Linked DNA regions of Struthio camelus. The protein of the gene in region 1 purifies or fractionates together with the protein of each later gene. This does not show direct contact. Links are inferred from orthologs where the notes say so. Each region holds a gene or a part of one and is shown on either strand. Other genes may lie near its edges.

The links. The genes of interacting proteins can lie anywhere in the genome.
Region 2: the proteins of BCORL1 (region 1) and YAF2 purify together in Homo sapiens (affinity purification with mass spectrometry; 5 studies listed by BioGRID and IntAct, counting the BioPlex papers as one, with this or other methods). This does not show direct contact. The link is inferred for Struthio camelus from reciprocal best matches to the Homo sapiens genes BCORL1 and YAF2.
Region 3: the proteins of BCORL1 (region 1) and SKP1 purify together in Homo sapiens (affinity purification with mass spectrometry; 3 studies listed by BioGRID and IntAct, with this or other methods). This does not show direct contact. The link is inferred for Struthio camelus from reciprocal best matches to the Homo sapiens genes BCORL1 and SKP1.

The regions. Positions count from the first base shown.
Region 1 is NC_090952.1:1,778,322-1,786,107, reverse strand, and holds the start of BCORL1 (BCL-6 corepressor-like protein 1), read left to right. Parts: upstream 1-4,784; 5' UTR 4,785-4,952; intron 4,953-7,786. UniProt on the Homo sapiens protein: Transcriptional corepressor. May specifically inhibit gene expression when recruited to promoter regions by sequence-specific DNA-binding proteins such as BCL6.
Region 2 is NC_090942.1:33,985,226-33,992,122, reverse strand, and holds the start of YAF2 (YY1-associated factor 2), read left to right. Parts: upstream 1-3,892; 5' UTR 3,893-4,109; coding exon 4,110-4,135; intron 4,136-4,233; coding exon 4,234-4,425; intron 4,426-6,897. UniProt on the Homo sapiens protein: Binds to MYC and inhibits MYC-mediated transactivation. Also binds to MYCN and enhances MYCN-dependent transcriptional activation. Increases calpain 2-mediated proteolysis of YY1 in vitro.
Region 3 is NC_090954.1:3,872,856-3,880,408, reverse strand, and holds the start of SKP1 (S-phase kinase-associated protein 1), read left to right. Parts: upstream 1-4,548; 5' UTR 4,549-4,812; intron 4,813-5,459; 5' UTR 5,460-5,516; intron 5,517-7,511; coding exon 7,512-7,553. UniProt on the Homo sapiens protein: Essential component of the SCF (SKP1-CUL1-F-box protein) ubiquitin ligase complex, which mediates the ubiquitination of proteins involved in cell cycle progression, signal transduction and transcription.

The DNA.
Region 1 (7,786 bases):
GTAAACTCCGGGTTGTTTGTGCTTCTATTACACAGGCAAGCAGTGTAATAGAAGGGCTTCCTAATGATTTGTCCATCCTTTGCAACATCTCTTTCACCATTCTCTATGGCTGGCCATCAGGTTCCAGTACCGCGCAACCACGTTTTTCATCCTCTACTAGATGTCAAGCAATGGGACACGGCACTGCAGGAGTTGCACCTCACTTAAAATTGGAGTGAAGGTGCCAGGGAACGAGGTCCCCGCACGATGGGAGCCGATGCCCTTGCAGAGCCGCTGGAACCTGCGTGCCCACCTTGCTGAGCTTTGGCGTGACAGAGGGTGACAGAGCAGCCCTGTGCTGCTCTGCACCCTGGCAGACAGCAGAGCTGGACGGCTGGCTTTACACTGATGCCAGCCACTGCCTGGCTGCAAGGCTCGAGGCGACAGGTAGAACAGACTGGTGGGTAGGAGGGTGCTGATATGCTGGAGAAATTGAAATAATTCCCATCTGCAGGAAAAGTTCCCTCCCTCAAGGTCCCCTCCTGAACACCAAAAACCAGCCCTGAGGCCTCACCTGCCCCCTTTTCTAGTGCCTGACTTGCCCATACTGGCTTCCTCCATAAGCCTTTGTGGTTCGCTCCTTGGCCACAAGGAAATCTGTGAGCCCTTGGCATAAAAAACGTGCTCAGAGCAACGGGAATTTTGCATGGAAATAATCAGCTGAGAGGGCAGGGCTAGCATAGGACAGCACTGGCCTTGGGTGCCCAGCACCACACAACTGGGGCCTCCCAGGTTAGGCTGCCCAGTGGGAAAAAAACCCGTGCTCTGCCAATTCCCATTAAGCTCTTGCTATCCACTTTCTCCTAGTGCTGCAATCTCTTTGCATTTTATTCTGTTATAGTTTGCATTGCTGCCTGCAATTTCCAAGCCTCACCACTACCATCCTTGAACACCCTGTGCACTCAGCACCAGCATCTTGCCCAGACACAGGCGAACCAAGGCACGCGCTCAGAGCAGACCCGTACCTTCTGAAAGGCAAGTCACCATCTCTTCGAATCCAATCCACCATCCAACAATCATGACCTTTCTGCCAGCCTGTAGAAAACTAGTTTCATTCATTCTTTCATTTTTCTTCTTCTTCTTTAGGTGCATTGTCTGCAGGAAAAAAAAAAAATAAGGGAAGCTCACTCAGGAGGGAAGACTTGCAGCTCCTTCTGAGCACAGGGCTCATGATGGGAGACTCCTGAGGACACCTCTGCCTGGGGTGCCAGTGCAGCCATGACACGGACAGCGGCGCCAAATGGCAGCATGGTCATTTGTCTATCATACGACCAAAGTATACACGTGCAAGCCCAGATGTGCTAGTTCAGAGGACACCACGGTTACCCCCAGTCCTTTGGGGGTAAATCCATCCCTTTGTCCTGTTTGGTTTCTAAATCCCTTGGCTGTCATACATATCGAATGGAAAAAGAGAGTTTGCTGTCTGCATAGGCCGAATCAGGACTGCCAGGGACACAGCAGCGCAAGCAGATACCTGAGCCAGACTGGATGTGCACGAGTAGAAACAAGAAGCCCGGACTTCAGCAAGCAGTGTGTGGCATGGCACCCAAAGGGAAACACTGTTTTGGAGTGAGGCACCCCGGGAGTCACCACCCAGCCACTAAGGGTGGCCCCAGGGTGGCCCTCAGAGCGGGAGGATAACACTGAAGAGAGTGGCCATCCTGTTTCCCAAAACAGACTGCTTAGAGCGGCAACACACCAAAGGGGCTCAAAGCAACACAGACCCCGCGGGCATGAGAAGAGGCCTGGCCCGGACCCTCGCAGCACCCCACGGCGGCCTCTGGCCGAAGCAGAGCGCGGGCGGTGCCGGCCCAGGGGCAAAGCCACCCGCACGCCCCAGGGCCACCGTGCCTCCAGCTTCCTCCGCGGCCTCAGCCAGGAGCTGGGCGCCGCCGCCGGGACTACCGGCCCGCCGGGCCCGCGTGGGCCGGGGCTCGGGGCGCGCACCCTCCGAGCCCCGCTCCCACTGAGCGGCCGCCGCCAGGCCGCCTCCCGGGAGCCCCGCGGCTCCTCGGCCCCGGCCCGCCCGCGGCCCGCTGCCCTGCGGGGGCAGGCAGCGCCGAGCCCCGGGCAGGCGGCTCGCTCCGCCGCCCTGGGCCCTGCCACACCGGCAGCACCCTCACCCTGGCACACCGGAGCCCGGCTGCGCACAAGGCCCCGCGCCGGCTCCCCGCGCGCCCGGCCCCAGCGCCACCACTGTGCACCCCGGCCGCCGGGCACTGCCCGGGCTCAACAGTTGGCCCAGCTGCCCGGCGGGCAGCGCCATGCCGCGCTCCGCCGCTGCCCACCGCCCTTCAGGCAGGGCCACGGACACACGGCAGAAGCCCCAGCCAGCAGCGCTTCGGCCATTCGCAGGCGGCACGGAGACCCCGCTGCCCTGCTCCCTGCTCGCCCTCACGGCAGGATGGGGCCCTGCCTTTGCCCTTGGTGTGCCCTGTAGCTCCTGGGGCGAGCCTGTATCTGCACGCTCCCTCTCCAGATTACCTTTGCTACAAGATGCAGCTGCCTCCTTGAAGTTAGCTTTAAAAGAAGAATTCAGCCTTTTCCCTCCTCCTCTGTGGATGCTTCTTCTGCAGAGCTAACATCTGCGTTTGGGGGGGAGCAGCCAGCAACAGCACTGTCCCTCACCTCGCCTCCCATCACACAGCCCAACCGCCGGCAGACATGCACGCAGCCCAGGGGCCGGGGCTGCGTGGGGCTGCTGAAGGGTCACCCTGGGTGGGACAGGCACCCCATCGCGCAGAGGACCCACAGGAGAGGAGCAGCAGGGAGGGCTGAAGGAAGGGCCATAGGCCCAGGGCGAAGGGAAGGCCAGGGTGCTGAACATCACAGCCTCCCCGGGGGAAGCAGTTGAGGCAGGCACGACAGGCCCACAGGTACAGAGCGAGGCGCTGGCAGGGACATCGGGGCAGCGGAAAGAGGAGCAGGGGGACCTCGAGCATGGCCCACCTCTGCCTCAGGCTGCGGGGCACTCCATATCCCAGGTGGGTAACGCCAGCAGAGGCACGCGCGCCAGCACTGCACAGCGTGGACAGGGCCGGGGGGCCAGGGTCTGCGAGGGCCAGGGCCTGCAGGGGACAGGCTGGGGAGGGGACAGCACTGCGGCAGCACCTGGGAGAGGCTCACAGCCCGGGCAAGGGATCCCGCCGCTGCCAGGGCCCGCCACGGCGAGGCGGGAGGGGCCGCCACGGCGCAGGCTGCCTGCCCCGCGGCTCGGAGGCGCCCTGTCCACAGCCCGGCACAACTGGGCGTCCCTGGTCCCCGAGTGCCCCCCGAGGCAGCCCCGCGCCGGCGCCCTGCCACCCGGGCCGGCGCCGGGAACTGCCAGTGCTGGGTGAGGGGCCCGGCGCAGGGCTGGCTCGAGGGGCGCTCGGGGGCCGCACGGGCCCAGGCGGCCGTGGAGGGGCGCGGGCACCGGCGCGGCGCGGAGTCGCGGCCCGGTCCCAGGGGCGCGGGCCCGGCGGGCCGCCCTGAGGGCGGGGGCCGAGGCGGCGCAGCCCCGGGGCCAGGCGAGGCTGTCACTCGCCGCGGCAGCCGGGGCCGGGGCCGGGGCCGGGGCCGGGGCCGGGGCCGGGGCCGGGGCCGGGGCGGAGCGGGGCGGGCCCGGCGCCGCGGCCGGGTGGGAGCAGGCCGGGGGCGGCGCGGCAGGGCACTGCCAGCGGCGCCCCCCGCTCGGCCCGGCCCGGCCGCGGGCTGGGCCCCGCCGCGCCGGGCACCGCGAGGCGACGCGGCGGTGGCGGGGCCTGCGAGCTCCGTGCCCCGGGCGGGGGCCGGCTGGCGGCCGCTGAGAAACTTCCAGCCCGCCGCGCCGTGCCCCGCGTGGCGCGGGGGAGGGGGGCCCCGGGGCCCGGGCCGCCCCCATGGCGCTGCCCGCTCCCGGGCGCGCCCCGGCCTAGGCGGGGGGCTCGGCGCGGGAGGGCACCGAGCGCCATGTCCGCCTCCCACCGCCCTCCGCAGGGGCGGGGGCCCGTGCTCGGCCCGCTCCCCCGCCGCGGGCCCACGTCGGCCCGGCGGCGTGCGGGCAGCGCGGCGGGAGGGTCAGCGCCTCCGCGCCGCTCCGCCCGTGCCCCGCGCCGCCAGCGCGGCTCGGCTCGGCCGCGCTGCGCCGCGCTGCCCGGGCGGCGCGGGGCACGTCCCCTCGCCGCGCCCGGCCGCGGGCACCTCGAGGTGCGCGGTGCCGTCGCCCGCCTCTCCGCCGCTGCCCGGCGGTGCCGCCAGGCTGCCCGTCCAGCGCAGCGCGCGCCCGGGCGCCGAGCCCACTGGCCGGGCGTGGAGCGCCCGCCGCCCTCCTCCCTCTGGGTGTGGAGCCCGGCTGCCCGCCCCGGGTGCGGGCGCCGGTGCCCCGGCGCCCCGGCTCGGGGTCGTGCGTGTGCGTGTGCGTGTGTGTGTGTGTGTGTGTGTTGTGTGCGTGTGTGTTGTGTGCGTGTGTATGCGCGGGGCTCCCCCCGCGCCTCGCCGCGCCGCGCCGCCCGGAGGTGCCGTCCGCGCCGCGCGGGGCGCGGAGCGCCGCGGACAGGCGGCCCCTCCCCAGGCGGGGAGCGACCTCCCCTCCCGCGCCCCCTCCCCCGGGCTGTGCCGGGTGCGGAGCCCCCTCCCTCCCGCTCGTTCCCTCTCCGGACTCGGCTGGCTCTGCACAGCCCCCCCCTCCGTGCGGGCAGGGCTGGCCGCGCGGCGCGCCGGGAGCTGTAGTCCGCGAGGCGGCGGGGCAGCCGGCGGGGCGCGGCGGCCGGACTACACTTCCCGTCAGGCCCCGCGGCGGCGGCTCGCTCTCGCCCTCACACTCCGGCTGCCGCTGCCAGTGTCTCCGCCGCCGCCGAACCGCCGCTCGCAGCGCCCAGTGTCCGACCCGCCGCCTCGGGCAGGGGCCCGCCTCGGCCCGCCGCCCCCCGCCGCCCGCCTGGCTCGGGAAACAGGTGCGTGCCCTCCCCCCCTGGCCCGCCGCTGCGCTCCGGACACCCGGCCCCGCTGCCCGGGCACCCCGGGCCCGTTCGCCCCGCACCCACCACCGAGGGGAGGCGGACGGAGCGGGCGGCCCGACCCTCCGCCCAGCCGGCCGGGGTCTCCATGGAAACGGGTCCCGGGACACCCCCGGGCGGGCGGCGCTGCGGGGCGGCGCGGCGCGGGGCGGCGCGGCGGGGCGGGGGGGCAGCGTCCTGGAGCGGGACAGCGGAGGGCGGGCGGGCGGGGACCGCGGGCAGTGACAGCGGCCGGGGCCGGGGGCGCCCGCGGCGGGCGGCGGCGGCGGGCTCCGCTCGCTGCCCCGCGACGGGCGCCGCGTGCCGCTGCCTCGCCTCGCGCGGCGGCGGCGGCGGCGGCGGCGGCGGCACCGGCGGCGGCACCTGCCGCTCCCGGGGCGGTGCGGGGGGTCCCGGGGCGCCTCGGCGAGGCGGGGCGGGGCGCGCCGGAGCGCAGCGCACCCGGTGCCTTGGCGGAGAGCGGCGGGACGGCGGCGCCGGGCGCTCCCGGAGTTTCGCGGCGTGGCCCATGCCTGCTCCGGCGCCTGCTCTGGCTGGGGGCGGCTGTGCCCGGCAGAAACTCCCGTCCCGGCCGGCAGGGCTCCGGTCGATCGCGGAAGAGCCCTCCCCGGGGGCAGCGCCGCCGCCGCCAGCTCCATATTCGGGGCTGCCCCGGTACGTCGGCCCGGCCCCGCGGGGCTGCGCGCGGCCCCGGCGGCCCTGCCCGCGGCGGCGGGGCGAGCGCCGGAGGCGGCGCGGCGGAGCGCGGCCCGGGGCTGCCCGCGGGGCGGCCGGGCCAACTGTTGAGCCCGGGCAGTGCCCGGCGGCCGGGGCGCGCAACGGCGGCGCCGGGGCCGCGGCGCGGGGCCTTGTGCGAAGCAGGGCTCCGGTGCGTCGGGGCTCGGCGCCGCGGCCGCTGCAGCTGCCGGGGCGGCGGGGCGAGCCGCCTGCCCGGGGCTCGGCGCTGCCTGCCCCCGCAGGGCAGCGGGCCGCGGGCGGGCCGGGGCCGAGGAGCCGCGGGGCTCCCGGGAGGCGGCCTGGCGGCGGCCGCTCAGTGGGAGCGGGGCTCGGAGGGTGCGCGCCCCGAGCCCCGGCCCACGCGGGCCCGGCGGGCCGGTAGTCCCGGCGGCGGCGCCCAGCTCCTGGCTGAGGCCGCGGAGGAAGCTGGAGGCACGGTGGCCCTGGGGCGTGCGGGTGGCTTTGCCCCTGGGCCGGCACCGCCCGCGCTCTGCTTCGGCCAGAGGCCGCCGTGGGGTGCTGCGAGGGTCCGGGCCAGGTCCCCCTCGCTCCTTGCGTCCTAGGTGAATATAGGCAGCAGCAAGACCAGAGACGAGGCGCTTTCTGCCGCCCCTGGCCTCGCTGGGGGGGAAACCTAAAGCGTCCTTCGACTTAGTGTCAGTGCTTGGCAGGTTTATTGCAGGTTCCTCCGTGAGCTGTTTCCATACCTCACCTCGATTTGATTGTGGCTGGAACCAGTTTAGAAAAGCACCTCAAGAAGGTTTCGTAGGTTAAAATCAAGATGAAGTAAGTTTCTCCTCTTTCCAGAGAATCTGCTTCTGAGGACCATTGTTCTTGCTGGATACCGCCAAACTGAACAGGGATCGGCAGGAGCAAAAGGCTTACGCGTCCAGCTTCCTTTGCAGCTTTGAGGTTTTTTTGCCGTGTCTGCATTAGCTTTTTCTTCTCTGCCCTGCGTTTTCGTCACTGTCACCAGCGTCTAGATCTAACGGGTCCTGGTGCCAGTACAGGGCTAAGGACTGCATGGTGCCTGTACAGATCTAGTGGCAATGGTTTTGCTGCCTGATTCTGAAGATACACTTCTGGGAACAGCTGAGAAAGCTGCATCTCGTGTAGTCTGGCCCTCAGAAGGAAACTGCAGCTGGGACCTCTGTGTTCTGGTATACCTCTTGTCTCCTAGGGAATGGCAACCTGCATTCCAGTCGTAGTACTTTGCATGATATGAGGCTTTTCAGACATGAAAATTTTTAGACAGGTCTGCCCTTAGTTGCATCCCTTTTTTTTTATTATTCCTTACAGATTTGCTCTAAGGGGCTTTCATGGGCACAGCCTTTTCTATCTGATTTTCCTGAATGACTGAGGGACTAGCGACACAACTTGTCCAGCAGCTAAGACTTATTATTAAAAGACTACCGAATGTGCAGCGAACTTTGCTATTTTAAACGGAGATGATTTTTTTTTTTCTTTTCCTCTCTTTTCAGCGCATCATGCTGAGTATCTATAATTACTTATAGTGTTACTGTGTCTTTAAATCAGCTTAAGCAAATATATGTAGGCAAAGCCTGGCTCAGCACAGCAACAGCCAGGGGTTTCGGTGTAGCAAAGAGGGAAACCCAAACTGAGATTAGGACTGCCATACAAGCCAAAGGCCAAATCCATTGCATCGTAACAGCTTCCGCAGAAGTGTGTGGTAGACATGGTCTGGCTTCTTGATGGCTGAATTTGGTTACAGGCTTAAGTGTTCCTTGTTGCTGCTATAACTTCAGACCTCTACGTGAGGAGTAACGTGATACCTGGGGGGAAAAAAAAAGGTTTATTTTGTATGTTTTTAGATTTCTCTCTGGCTGCATTTGAGATCCATAGTGAGTCCTGTGAGAGGATCATCTTGATTACCACTCCCCTCCTCCCCCAGCCATTCACTTTAAAGGGGTTGTCAGAAACACTGTGCGGGGCTGAATCCTGCTAAGACATCTTAGGAAGTTCTCCGCTTTTGCACTCAGGCTGGACCTCTGTACCTCACATGGACGCTTGATGATCACATACAAAAACAAATA
Region 2 (6,897 bases), on another chromosome or scaffold:
CAAAGTGGTTATATAATTGATGAAGATACTGACAGTGCAGTAACTGGCATAGGTTTCATGTGCTCAACAATGGTTCAATTGTTGACTAAATGACTGGCAAGTCTTCATATGGATTCACACAGCAATAGTCTGGTCTTAAATAACCTCGTAGGTGCATACTTTCCTTAGGAATAATAGTAATCCCCTCTGGATAAGAATTTTCACACAAGAAGATACTCAGAAATAGCCACTGTTTCCTTTCACGTCCTCTTTCATATGAATAAAGTTTTAACTGAGAAGTCATGCATGCCAGAACATTTATACCATGAGATACAGAGAATATCTTTAACTTTCATGAAGCTATCAGCATAATATTATATTAAATACCATAATCCTATCATGAGTGTTGCCCTAGAACAATGCTAAAAAAATGTCAATTTTAAGAGAGGAGTATAAGACCATATCCTAACTAGAGAGTGAATCCGTGATGCACTTAGTGAGAGGCAAACATATTGCACATTCCTTCTATCTTAAAGATGTGTTTACTTTCGAAGGTCAGCTGAATTAAAATAGGGTGTAAATAACTATTCTGGAATAACCCCACTTTAGACAAAATCAAACTTAAAACTAAGGGAATTTAAAATGAAGATTAAAGTTATTCCTTCTCCTTCCATGAAACATTTTTTTAAGACAACTGATACTGATTTCATCAACTCTGTCACACAAACTATCCAGGTAACACACCATATAAATATTTAACAGAAGACAAGTTTAAGTTTTGTGTGTTCATATGGGGATCACCAGATGTCAGGTCTGGTTATGGAAGTCCCCAGCTTTGTCACTTTGTACCAAAGTCCTAGGAACATTATTGTCTCTTTGAAATACTCTCTTGATTAAGCATTTAACTATTATACACACCTCTTTGGTGTGTTTTTCTGCATTATTGGTAAAAGATGTTCTTCTGAAGACAGAAGCGTTGGCTTAGATAATCTATTTCAGAAATAAAACACGATTCCGTAAATGGAGAAAAGTCAGTATTTTCCAGAGGAGAAAGAAATGCAGTTCTCAGGGGAACACGGGTATTGTCTCACCCAGACTTGTCAGTAATGTGGTACATGTTGTGTATCCCAGGGTAGTGTCCTGTTACTGGACTAAGTTCAGGATTTGCTTGGAGTTGCTTAGTGCAGCTTTCTTCATAATCTCTTACGAATTGAAAACACTGCATGGAGCAATTATCCTTCCCTTGCCCAGCCCTTCAATGCCACCTGGTCCTATCACAAACCACTGATCTTTTAACTGTGGTGTCAACATTGGGGGCTTAGTGCTTTCACGGGTGTTTACTTTTGTTCCTGTTTGTAGATAGAACAAGGCATGAGAAAAATGACATTTCTTTCCTCTTCAGAGTTATTAAAAAACAAGACTCATCATTGCACAGAGAAGGCACCATGGCCCATCTACTTGATCTCTTGATGCCCTACTGAATCACATTTAAGCTCCTAAAACAAGGATTAGTTGGGATTTCAGTGGGAAACAGGCCCAGTGCTGCTGGGGAAACATCATGATCTTTAAGCAGAGTGGTTTGGGTGATGTCCATGCAGCAGAAGGGCTGGAATGCTACAATTGGAAAGATTACTCGGCTGTTAGGGATAACATTTGTGGTTGGCAGTTATGATTCTCCCTGCTGATTAGAAGTGGTTCTCTCCAAGAATAGTTCCTGAGGGATTACAACATATCCCAGTGTTTTGCAACCATCAATGGAAGTTTTGTTTTGTTTCTTATAATCCGTATGGGAAAAGTATGCTGTGACAGAGGAAAGGTCAGGAGAAAGAGGTTGTTTCAAAATAATTGTCTTCTGAAAGTGGAGAAATAATATGTTTTTTTATGCAGTAGAGAGAGTGCAATATGTAAAAGGGCACAAGGAGGCAGGTTTCTCCACTGCTTCCTGTTTAAAGCTTTCTACGTAGAGTGAGATTCAAGGAGTGGTGAAAGTCATCTCATGTAATTCTAGATTTTTAAAGACCAGTGTCCAGTTCCGAAATATTTGCGCAAAGCTCTCTTCATAGTCAATGGAGAGAAATGGTCTCCAAAAGTGAGAAAATCATCTGCTTGAATTACCTTCTGTAGGTGCTTATTTCTCCCTGTTGGGTTTGGATCTGGGTGGCTACTTCCTACAGGTGTCCAACTTAATGAATCCCTTTCCAACTGGCTGTCTCAGGCTTGGCCCACCCCCAGAGGTGCAGTCCCTACAGTGTGTTTGCAATTCACACCAGGTCCTAAGAGTAGCATAAAAATAGAAGAACGAATGAAATTGGGAAAGGCAAAGAAAGAGAAAGGCAAGGGAAACCAATTAGCTAAGAAAACCGAAAGCAGAGAACATGACAATACTGGTAGCAGGATATAGACGTGGAAGGAAATTAGGATACGCGACCAGCCACCAAGTAGGAAATACTATGCAGGCTCGAAATTGCTGGTGTACAGGATTGCTGGAGAGAGGTCAGGAAACTGGGCAGTAGCAATACCTCTACATAAATGTCAGTGTTCCAAATAACAGGACGTTTCGCTGGGCTTTTGTGGGTTCCCTCAGGAGATAACGTCAAGCACTTGACCTACATTTTCCTTTCCTTCGTTATATACCACTATTTCTCGCTGAAATCCTTTTGGAGAACTTTGGCTCCAGAATCAGAAAGTTTCTCCATTGTCTACTTACTAAATTTTCAAAGAGCTCTACACCTTCAGTTATGCTTTTCCACACACTTAGGCAAAGCTCCCCTCAGGCACATTTTGTTCTCCTTGAAATCCTGTTGTTCCTTGACAAAGGCTATGCAGCAAAAATTGCTCTGATCACTGTGATGCTGACCAATATCATCCCGTTGTCTGCCAGTACTCTGCCATCTACCTGTATCTGACTGCTGCCTTTTGTTACGTACTTAGGACATGTGCTCTTTGTTCTGTTTGTACAGCATCTTGCAAAATGGCATCCTACTCCGTGACTGGGGCTCCTGTGCACTGCTGTAACACAGGTAACAAATAATAGTGTTTTGTTTCATGTTACTGTGTTGCATGTGAACCACGTTGTACTTCTGCACTTTTAAGTACAAAGGCCAAGCATTACATGTGGATACTAGATAACACCGTTATCTTCTGATTTTGTATCAGCACCTATCACATTCTCCCTGTGCCTCACTGGCCTGCGTGGTTTCTAAGCAGACCCCCACGAAGCATTCATTTTATCTCCTTTCCCTCCTTAAACCAAAGCACGGCCCGGCAAAAATTTCTCTGGAAAGGAGAACGAGGCAAACGAGACGTTATTGCAAACGTTATTCTGTGCTAACAGAAACGCGGTCTCAGCGGGAAAGCAGCGCCGGCCGGCACGAAAACACGCGAATGCCGCATCGCTCCTGATTTGGCCCGGGACGCTCCCTCGCGTCTCCCCGACGGGCAGAGCCCCGCCGCCGCCGCCGCCCCTTCCCGCAGCGAGGCCCGGCCGCCCGCCCGCCACAGCGCCGTGCCCCCGCCGCTCGCCGGCCCTTGCCCGCTCCGCACCCGCCGGCGGCCCGCGGCCTGGGCCGCAAACCCTGCGGAGCAGCACGGCGCCGCCGGGAAGGGCGGCGGGGCGGCGGCGGACCGCGCCGCGCCCGGCCTACCCCAACACCGCCGCCGCCATGTGCCACCAGGCGGCCGGGCGCCCCGCGGGACAATGGCAGCGGCCGCCGCCGGGCCCGGCCCTCAGCACGCCCCCCCCCCCCCCCCGCCGCCATGCCGCGGCCCCTCCCGCCGGCGGCGCCCCCAGCAGCCCCCGCGGCGCCCGGTCCCTCCGCCGCCGCCGCCCGGCCGCCACCGGCCGTTGCGAACCTGCCGCCGCGCGCGGCCCGCCGGGCGCCGCGGCCTGCGGGCGGCCGCTGGTTGGCGGCGGGGGGACACGTGAGGGGGGAGGGGGCAGCAGCGGCGGCGGCGGCGGCAGGAGTTTCCCCGACAGCTGGAGGTTGCGGCGGCGGCTCCTCCTCCTCCTCCTCCTCCTCCCCCCCGGGTCCCCGCTAGAGACAAGCGCCCCCCGCGCTCCTCCTTATTGACAAATACACAAAGGGCCGCGCCGGGCCGCGCCGCGCCGGGGGGACGCGTCTGGAGCCGGCATGGGAGACAAGAAGAGCCCGACCAGGTAGGGGCAGCGCCGGGGCCCGGTACCGCGGAGAGATGGCGGCCGGCGGGGCGCTCCCGGGGGAGGCGGCGGCGGCGGGGCCGGCGTGACGGCGGTAGGTTTCTCTCCCCCCCCCCTTTTCCACCCCCCCCCCCCGGCCCCGCTGTGTGCGTATGTCTCCGCAGGCCGAAGCGGCAGCCGAAACCCTCCTCGGACGAGGGTTACTGGGACTGCAGCGTCTGCACCTTCCGCAACAGCGCCGAGGCCTTCAAGTGCATGATGTGCGACGTGAGGAAGGGCACCTCCACACGGTGAGTGCCCGCCGCGCCGCGCCACGCCACGCGGGGAGCCGTTGGCCGGGCTCCCCCCTCCTCCCCCCGGCCACCCCGCGCCGTGAGGGAGACCGGCTGTGACAGGAATGAGGTCACGTTTAGCGGGGAGCCCCGGGCTGGGGGCGGGGGGGGGGGGTCGCAGCGAGACTTCGTCTCGCTGCGACCCCCCCCCCCGCCCCCAGCCCGGGGCTCCCCACTAAACATGACCCCAGGCAGGCCCCGCTCCTCCGTGCGTGGACTGCGGCCCGATGAGATTTACTGACTGGAGAGAGGGTGGTGTAACCGTGTCTCCTCCCCGAGGTTACCGCGCTGTAACTGCCGGGAGAGGAGCGAAAAATAATAATAATAAAAACAACAGCCAAAAAAATAATAGTCTGTACAGCCCAAACATTTGCAAGGCCGTGCCCCTCGCAGAAGGGAAGAGCCATCCCCCCCCCCCCCCCCTGCTGGGGCATGGTTGGTTGGTTAAAACCCTCACCTGAATTAATATCTCTTTTTTCTTCTTCTAAGGAGTTTAACTTCGTCTCCCTAAAATGTCATTTATACCCCCCTCCTCTTCACCCCCCCCAACCGGCTGCTTGCTTTCATCCACAGAGCTATTTTGCTCCACCATGCAGATTTTGGTGGCTGTAGAGATGGATAGTGACTCTTGGCTGTTTCAAAAGGAATTGTGAATGGGCTGAGTTGTGCCGTGTGGAAGTGGCACCCTGAAAAATCAGTGACTTCCCAGGAAGGGCCTTTTTTTCTGTAGCACCCATTTGAAAGCTTGCAGTGAATTAACTGGTTCCCATGTGTATCTGTATTGTTCAATAATATGGCCTAAATGGACGCGCTTGGGGAATGGAGGATTTTTATAAAACCAACAGGACTGCACTTGTAGTCTTTGTGTGCTGACAGAATATTATTAAAGAATCCTTTGTGGTGATTATCATACCTATTGGCTAATCCTGTCAGCAAGAGAAGTTTAAGTGGCAATAAAAGTTGCAATCCTATCAAAAACAGCAATTACGTTCTAAATATCATTCAAAGCAATATGGAATATGAATTGCAACAAATGTATGTTTAAAATCAAAAGTGCAAAGTTAAGTCAAATTATTTTACAAGTAAGATTCTGCTTTATTTCTAACACCTATTTCCTAGACTTCTGAAAACCTGAATGAATGTCCAAAGTACTTCTGATAACTTAGTCTTGAATGCTTGTTGATTTTTGTTTTTTTTTTTTTTTTAATAATAAGGGAATCGGTGAGATAAATGTGCTAAGAGGAACTGTATCTGTCACATATAGCATGGTTTATGTCAAGACTGGCTTTGCGTTTGTGTCATGGATAGGTCTGTATGGATCGATAATATTCAACAGAATAACACTGCTGAAAGAGTGAATGCAAAATCTTTAAAACAGCAGAGATGCGAGTAACAACCTTTTTTTAAACACTACTCAGTTGCATTGGCAAAGTCAGTTTAAGATAGTGTTTTGTCCCACTGGGAACTCAGTGAGATAAAAGCACTAAAACTTAAAAATCTTCGGAATAAATAAGTAGATAAACCAGTTGGCCTTTTCCTCTTGAATGTTTTGGGAGCAAAATATAGAGCTTGAATTTTGGTGTCTCTTTCCTCCCCCACAATGTTCTCGTACGCAGAGTTTTAGCTGGTGCGTTGATTTTTATTTTTCTACTCAAACTCCGCAACAAATGTGTAGCTGACTAGGTTTATGTTTTTTTTTTTTTCTTGTAAGGTTTAAATGGGTCACATTTTCACATGTGTGCAAAGCCCAGGATTTACACATGGCATGAGATAAATACAGGTTGTGGTTTTAGACCAGGCAATTTTAAGCTCCAAATCTGAAACTAGATTTGAGCTAGTAAGTAGACCTTTGTGTCTCTGGAGAGAATCATTTGTGTCTCCCTGGCACCTTAAAGACCATTTGGGTGGACTTTTTTTAAAAGGAGCTGGAGTCCAAAAAACCAAATTGGGTCCCTGTTAAAACATTTGCTCATATTGCCTGTGCAATGAAGTGTTTTTCGTCAATGTTGTTCAAAATAGCAACGCTGTGGAGTTTAGATGGGAATTAATTTTTTCCAGCCTACCATTTTTAAATTTAATGTTTATATGGATTAAGCTGATGCCTCCACAGAGTTCTTAGTGTGCATTGATTCTTAATTCAAAATTTCTACTGCATTTTTTTAACTGATGAGAACTTTATCTATAAGACACTACAGAACACTTTTTTTTTTTTTTTTCCCCAGTTCAGAGAAGCCTGTTTCTTTGTAATGGACTTAATGTCTGCTTCTGAATGTTAAAATCCACCAAATGTGGATGTGTGGAAAAGCAGGCAATTGTAGTGAAGATGAATATTTTTGAAAGCCACTGGAAATCAGTTGTAACATTGATTAAAACAGTTGTAGTTTTCATACTAATCATGTACAATTAACTTTGTAGGAAGTATTTTCAGGT
Region 3 (7,553 bases), on another chromosome or scaffold:
CCATGGTAGCATCTTCCTCGGTGTTTATTGCAGCCATAACAACTACAGGGATCCGAGTTTGACTCGTTCTGTGCAGTTGAAATTATTTCAATGGATACTAGGGCAAAAAGGGAACAAAACCCAGTATGTTTGAAGTATCTGAAGGTGCACTGAGGATGAGGTTAGAAAGGTGCTGCAGGTACCTTTACGATAGGTTTGTTTCTGTATTTCACCAATTTTGTTTTCTATCTTTATTCTTCTATACTTCATATATAGTCTTCTACATCTTGAATTCTTGTAGTATACAAGGGGGAAGAATATAAGTGATGCTGGAAAACCAGAAGCTGATTAAAAAAAACAGTTGATCTCCGCTTGACGTAATTTAGTTATTTTGAATGTTGTCAGTCTATCGCTGTCAGATTAGACTCTCATCTAAAAAGTGGACTCCCATCTCCCACTGTATCCAATGTCTTGCACTGCTCTGGTACAACTTGGATGAAAAGCACTACATTCTTAAGATGCTACTGTCGTACAGTTTTTGATGAAGTGGAGATACTTCAGGAGTGTTCTAGAGTGGTAGTGGGGGCAAGAATTGTTTCCTTGTTTGGCTGCTTGTTGCAAGGTTGCTTTGAACAGTGGCATGTGTCTTTGAGCCCCAGCGCTATCTTTCTACCATATTATCTCAGACGAATAATTGTGATGTTTTCTGTTTTTACAGTGAACTAGTCCTAATTTTCCTTGCCTTATTGATATGCCTGCTCGCTTTCAAAAACATTCTTCAAAAGGAGTGTTTTTGCTGCAAGTCTCATCTCCCCTGTGTGCAGATGAGGTTCTTGTTTAGCTCCAACCTTCTCCCTTGTTTTCTAGCACCTAGCTCTCTATGCCAGAACTGTGCTCTCTGGACCCTTGAGTTCAGTCTTTGCAGGGCTGCCTTATCCTCAGGATTTCCTAACTGAGGTCCATGAAATTTTCAAGCTTGTTACCGATGGAACAAAATACAGAAGTCTTTCAAGCCTGATTCTCAGGCTTTGCCAATCCTGTGGCACACTTCTAATATTAAAAATACTCTGTCTTTTTACAGTGTGTGATCTCCATAGATTGTGAATCGCCAGCAACAAAAATCAGCTTCTCTGCCTGCAGAAATGGAGACCGTGAGGCACTTGGGCTGGGGGAACAGTCTCTTTTACCTAAGAGGCAAGAGAAATAGCCGGGAATAGAATCCAAGTTCTGGGAGTAAATCCAGTGCTCTGTCCTGGAGGCTGCACTCGGGTCTCTAATGCCATGTTTTTGCCAGTGTGTTGGTGAAAATTCCCTTCCCCCTACAGTTGTGCAGCTATTCAGCTAGCTTCTGCCTGCAGCCCAGTGATGCTGCAAGTATGTAGGTCAGAGCTCTTCTGGATCTGATAAGCGTTAAATCAAGCTTACACTGATCTTGGTTGCTGCAGTCTTTTCAGGTATTTGCATTAGGGTTAAGCTCCCCCCACCCCCCTTCCTCCTCTGGATTCTCTGTGGTAAAAGGCCCTTACTTTTAATTTATCTGTGGCTGATACGGAGTAAGATTATCTATATGGCTCCGAATGGCAAATCTTCGGTTCAGGATTATTTGCACTGGAAAGATTACCTATGTGTGTAACAATTGAAATTGGTACACCCATCTTCTGAAAAATCTCCTTCTTTGCCTTGCAGGTTTAGTGAAGGATGGGTCTTTTTGTGTTACTAATATTGACTTACTCATAGGACTTTGGCTATCAACTCTGCAGCAGCTTCTGTTTCAGGGCAAAGATAATGAGCATCTAGACTAGCTTGGGAGGTTCATTATGAGATATGTAGGGCACAGTGGGGAGGTAGCTGTCAGTGTGATCATAATATATCTATGACAATCTTATGCCAGTTGCAGGGGGTGTGGTGTTTTTGTTGTAACTTTCCCATACTTCTAATTCAACAGCTAAATTCAAAGTCCACTGTGGACTGAATTTTCTCTGTTACATCTTTAGAACAGGTGGATCAAATATAAAGCATGTCATCACCAGTATCACTCTAAATTTATAACTCATTCGCAGATCATAAGTAAGCATGGAATTTAGCTTTCTGCCTGCTCCGAGACTTATTTAGATTCCTCTTCTGTAGAGAGCAACCCCCATTCCCCTCTACGGAATCTGATTCCCAGTCTGAGAGTGAGCTCATAGTTACTGATCACAAGCCAAATTGGAAACCTTGATCTTTGGCAGCAGCAGGAAAAGGGATTTAGGATTATTGCTTTTGCAGATATGTTGCCCGCAGACCACCTTCTGTCATCTGATCCTCTTAGCCAAGCTGTTTTAATGTAAATAAAAAAGAACAAGCAAGGGGGAAATAAAGGCAGTGTTATTTTTAATGCAGTGAATGTAGTTTTCAGGGTTGGTGTACAAGATGGAGTGACTGAGGAGGAAAGAGGAAAATATGGTATAATCAAAAGGTCACAGATCGGAGGCTTCCTTTTTTTAGATAATTAGGTCCTAGTGAATGGTTAACAGATTGTCTAGTTACCAACACCAGGATCTTGAGGAGCCTCTGTTAGTATCAAAAGTCTCCTATATATAAGCATCACCTGATACTTTCAGATGCTCAGCCAGCTGGTAGGAAGTACACTTCAGAGAAGCATAGCATAATTTAGGTCAGAAGAGACCACTGGAGGTCCTCTGGACCAGGCTCCTGCTCAAAGCAGGGTTAACTCTGAATTTAGATCCATCTTGAGAGTTAGATCAGGTTGCTCAGTCATCTTCAAGTGCTCCACAACTAATGAGCTGCTCGGCATCCTGAAGCCTGTCATACAAGATTCTCAAAATAAGCAGTCTTCTCTCTATAAAATTCCAAGGAACTATTAAAAACCTATTTGAATGATATGACACAATGTAGAATTGTCCTCTGAGCCCTAAGAGGTTTTTTTTGGTTGAGAATCCATAATCCTGAGTCTCCCACCTCTCTGGAGAGGCAAGCCCTAACCAGCAGGCTCCGAGGAACACTATCGAGGCTCTCTGTGTAAAGTGAACCTGCTCCTGGTTTTGGATTAAATACTTCTAATAGTTGCATTCTCACTGGTTCTGTCACTCCGGTGAAAGTAGAAGACTAAAGGTTAAGTCCGGTTAAGTCCCTTGTTAATTTATACAAAGCTGCACATCTCAAAGAAAGGAAAGAAGACTGAGTATCTTAGGGGCTGGGCTGCTACCCTGGGCTGTGGATTCAAGTCTGCAAGCAAGCTCTCGAACTGAGCGTTTCTAAATTCCCAGGAAATTCTTTAGTTTATTAGGTTAGAAGGTATTTTCTGGTGAGTAGTACTGTTTTTTGTTTAATAAAGTGTGGCACGTAACCTGGGCCCCTGAGAAAAGGGCAAGCTGTGACTTACGGTGTGTTTGTGCTCGGCAGTGCAACGCAGTGCTGGTGCTACCACTTTGCTTACAGGTAGACTGGAGATGTATATGCTGCAGTGCTGTGAAAGCATACTCATGTTCTAAAAACATCAACAAAGATTTGGAATAAAGCACAGGGTTGCACAGTCAGACCCTGTTTGTGACAATCTCGACCACTTAAAAGCCACTCCGGGGTGGCACAAATACGGTCTGTGGCAGTGCGATGCTGCACCCAGGCTAACCACTCCAGGTACCTTGGAGGGGGTACCTCTGTCTGCTGTCCCTGCTGAGGGAAAAACTTCAGCCTGCTCTTTTCCTCAAAACCTAATACCTGTCACTCTGGCACGTATTCCTCCCTCGCCCTTTTAGAAAATCTTACCTGTGTCGGGGTACACAGCTGAGGTTTGCTGTTGCGCTAACAGAGCACCGCTTTTGCTGTATTTACATAGGCCTGAGCCCTCGTCTCTGCACACCGGCTCCTTGCTCAGCTTCGGTTTCTGCAGGTCCTTCACTGGGCTCCGTGGTTTTCGGTGCAATTTTCAGCTCAAAGCGCCTCGCGCCGCTTCCCTGAGCGGCCACTGAAGATCGCATGTCATGGCTTTTGCAGGGGAAACGCGAAGACGATTAACAGAGAGCTAACCACACGTAATTCTTGACTTCAAGCCACCCTTGCTGTGGTATTTGCGCTGTGTTTGTCAACTTTCTCGTTAGGAAACTCCAGTGGCACGAAAATACCCAAAGATTTGGGGGGGGGGGGGGAGGGAAGGGTTGGGACGACTCTGAGCTGCTCCTTTTAAGCACAAGCAACGCACAGGGCGCCGCGGAGGTGCGCGGCCGCCGCGCCTGCCCCCCGCGGCCCGTTTGGAGCCGCCGCTCGCCGTGAAGCGACGCGAGCGCTCCGGGCACGGCGCGGAGCCGAGGCCGCTTGGCGCACGGAGCCCGGCCTGCTCCCCGCACCTCCCGGTGCCCCTCTGCCCCGGGGCCGGGCCGGGGCGCGGCGGCGCCTCAGGGACGCGGGGGCGGCCCCGCCGGGGGGGAGGGGCGCTGCGGCCGTTGGGCCCGCGCGAGGCCCCCGCGGCCTATTGTGAGGCTCCTGGCGCGGCCGCCCGCCTGCCTGAAAGACCCGCCGGCCCGCGCCCTCTCCTCCTCGCTTCCTTTCCGCTCCGGTTGGGCCCTCCCCACTCCCGAAGGAAGCGGCGCGGGCCCGCTTCTGTTTGCAGCCCCTCTTTGCGCGGTGCGGGAGCAAAAGCGGGGAGGTTTTGTTCAGGCGGCCGGTGCGGGCAGCCCGGCGGTTGCGAGGCAGCGGGAGGCGGGTCCTTCGCCCCCTCCCTCCCGCACCCCTCCCCCGCCGCCACATAAAAGCGCCGCCGCAGTCGGGTCGGGAGCGCCGCCGCCGCCGCCAGGTCTCGCTCAGCGCGGAGCCGGACGCCGCCACCGCCGCCTCACGGTGAGGCCTGCGGGCGCGGGGAGGGGCTCTGCCCGCTGATGGGAGCCGCCTGGGCCCGGCCCGGTGCGGGCCGCCCGGTGGAGAGCGGCCGCGGTGCTCCCAGGGGCCGCTGAGGGCCTGGGCGGCGGCGGCGGCGGCGTGAGCTTTCCCCCCCTCCCCCCGGCCCGGGGCTGCGGGGCCCTCAGGGAAGCGCGGGGGAGCGGCGCCGCCGGGCCTTGCCCCTCCCCGGCCGCGCAGGTGCCCCTGTTCTCCTCCTCCCCCCCCCCCCACACACCTGGGGCTCCTCGGGCGGCCCCGAGCCCCCCTTCGTGGCGCGCGGAGGTGTCTCTGGCGCAGCTGAAACGCGAGCCGAGGGTCTCGGACGTGGCTTTAGGAAATAGCCGCGGCGTTTCACCTAGCGGCACGGAGGGGTTGGGGGGGACCGGGCACGCATCCTGAACAGCTTCGCGAGGCGTGCAGTTGCCCAGTCGCGCTGTTGTAGAGGGCTGGGCTCTGCGTTTCGGGCTTATGCCTGCCGGTTGCCGCTGTAATTGGGGTTTGTCTCTTGACCGGCTCCCGGCGTGTTTTGATGCTGTCAGATACAGCTTTTGGGACTGGTCTGCTTAGTCACCCTATTGTGTTGTTATCTGTGGCCTATCTGTTTCCAGAGTTGTATTGCAGTTCGTTAAAAAGGACTATTTTCTTCCAGTAGACTCTGCTCTGTGGTAAGAAATAATAAAATTTAGATAAAGGCCTTACCTGTTACGGGTTAAAAAAGCAGTAGGCTAGCTTCATTCTACCTGATTCAGGTCCCTAACGAGAGTCTTAATGCGAATATTCTCATGGGGGTGAAATTTCCTGAGATAGCATCACTCTCTTACTGGCTCAGTTGTGCAGCATTATGTAATCCTAGATACCACGAGCCTAAGAAAGCTCGTATATCAAACTAGATTTGTTCTTGAGTGCTCTTAGCCTGTCGCTGCAAGAACAGATGTTAAATCTGAAATGTGCAGTTGTATGTCTTTTTCAGAGCATCCTTCAAGCCAGAAACTCACGACCATGTTTTAATCCTAATTTTATATGTGTGTATATTATATACATAAATATATATGTGTATATATAAAAGGAACAGCCATGACTGTGTCCCTCCAAAACACACATCATCTTAATTAGAAGTAGCACTGTCATATAAGGTTACATTACTGTATAAACATTAACTAGCTAGTGGCTCTGCCAAATGGAAATTAAAGCAGTGAGGACTTCAAGCTGGTGTGAGCTGCTTAATAACGTATGTTGGCTGGCCTCCATTGGCCTTGGTTTGTTGCAGTACTGCCCAGCTCAGCAGTACTGAGGAGCTACAGAAGGCCCTTAAAAAGGGATAACATGAGTTAGCTGAAAGTAGTGCGGCTTCCTTCGGTTTCAGTAGTTCAGGTTACCACTTTAAGGAGCTAGCATGTGTAGATGTTCAGCCGGGCAGAGGGAGAATGTGTGAAAATGATAATTCTTTGTCCCTAGAATTTTTCTTTAAAAATTAGTTGCAGGCTGCACCTATAAATGTATGCTTTAGAGGTGGTTTTTTTTTTAAAGCAAATAGCTTGTGAGAAAACTAAATCATTGTAATGGTCTGCTGCTAAGAAGTGTTTTGAATGGTAAAGGAATGCATTATAACACTCATCCCAGTAGCCTGTCAAGATCTGATTTATAAAACTTTTTGCAACCAGGCAGTTGTGTTTATCTGGGTCCTTCATGTCAGTTGATTGAAGTGCAGTGATCCCCAATTAGACTTCTATGTGTAGCTTCAGGCAGAAGTTGTAACCTAGTAACTATTGTATCAAGTCCCTTAGTTCTGTTTTTGAGTTGTTGAGTATCTGGAAAGATGCATTTTAGGAAAACTTGACTATTGGTTTATTGATGGCATAATCTTTAAAGTCTGCTGCTGTTTGTATAGTAGTTTGTATCACTGTTTGTTCCAAAAAACTTTGTTAAAATACTTACTCGTCTTAATAGTTCTTAATGCTAACAAGGTGCTGATGCAACTTCCTACTTTGAAAGAGTAGTGTAAGGTGCTGAAAGCCTTCCTTATGGTGGTATATTGTGTGTATGTTTGCTTTGTTTTTAATCTCCTCAGAAAGCCAAGCTTTTTTCTGAGGGAGAATTGTTCAATCCTGAGTAACTGGTCAGTTGACCCCGCTTTGAGCGGAGGTGTGGGGAGTCTAGCCCATCTCCAGAGGTTCTTTCCAACATTGAGTATTCTGTGACTTAGTTCCAAGAGCTAGAAATTGAAAACTGCTTTTGGATCTGACTTCAGTTAGTTATGATGAGTACCAATTGTTTGGATGTGAAAACAAGTGGTGTTTTGGAAGTGTTTGTGCCACGTTAATTCAAGAGAAAGATAGCTCTAGTGTTGGACCGCAAAAGTATAAGCGTTATTGATGCTAATCCATTTTATGGCTCTCTCGTGCTTTTAAATTTGAGAGAGGCTTGTTTGAATTAATGTTAGACTTCTTTCTATTAATTTCTTAAACATCAGGTTTAGTGAATTTAGCCCTGTTGATCCAAACAGTGAATAGTCTGAGCATGCGTGAGTGACAGTGGACTGCTTGCTGTAAGTAAGAAGCAGTATAAATATTAAAGGTAACTTACAGCTTTAAGGCAGCTAATCTTTGCATGGTAATGTGTCTGCAGAATATTGTGTGAAAATAACTGTCCTTCTCTTGTAGATGCCTTCAATTAAACTGCAGAGTTCAGATGGAGAAATTTTT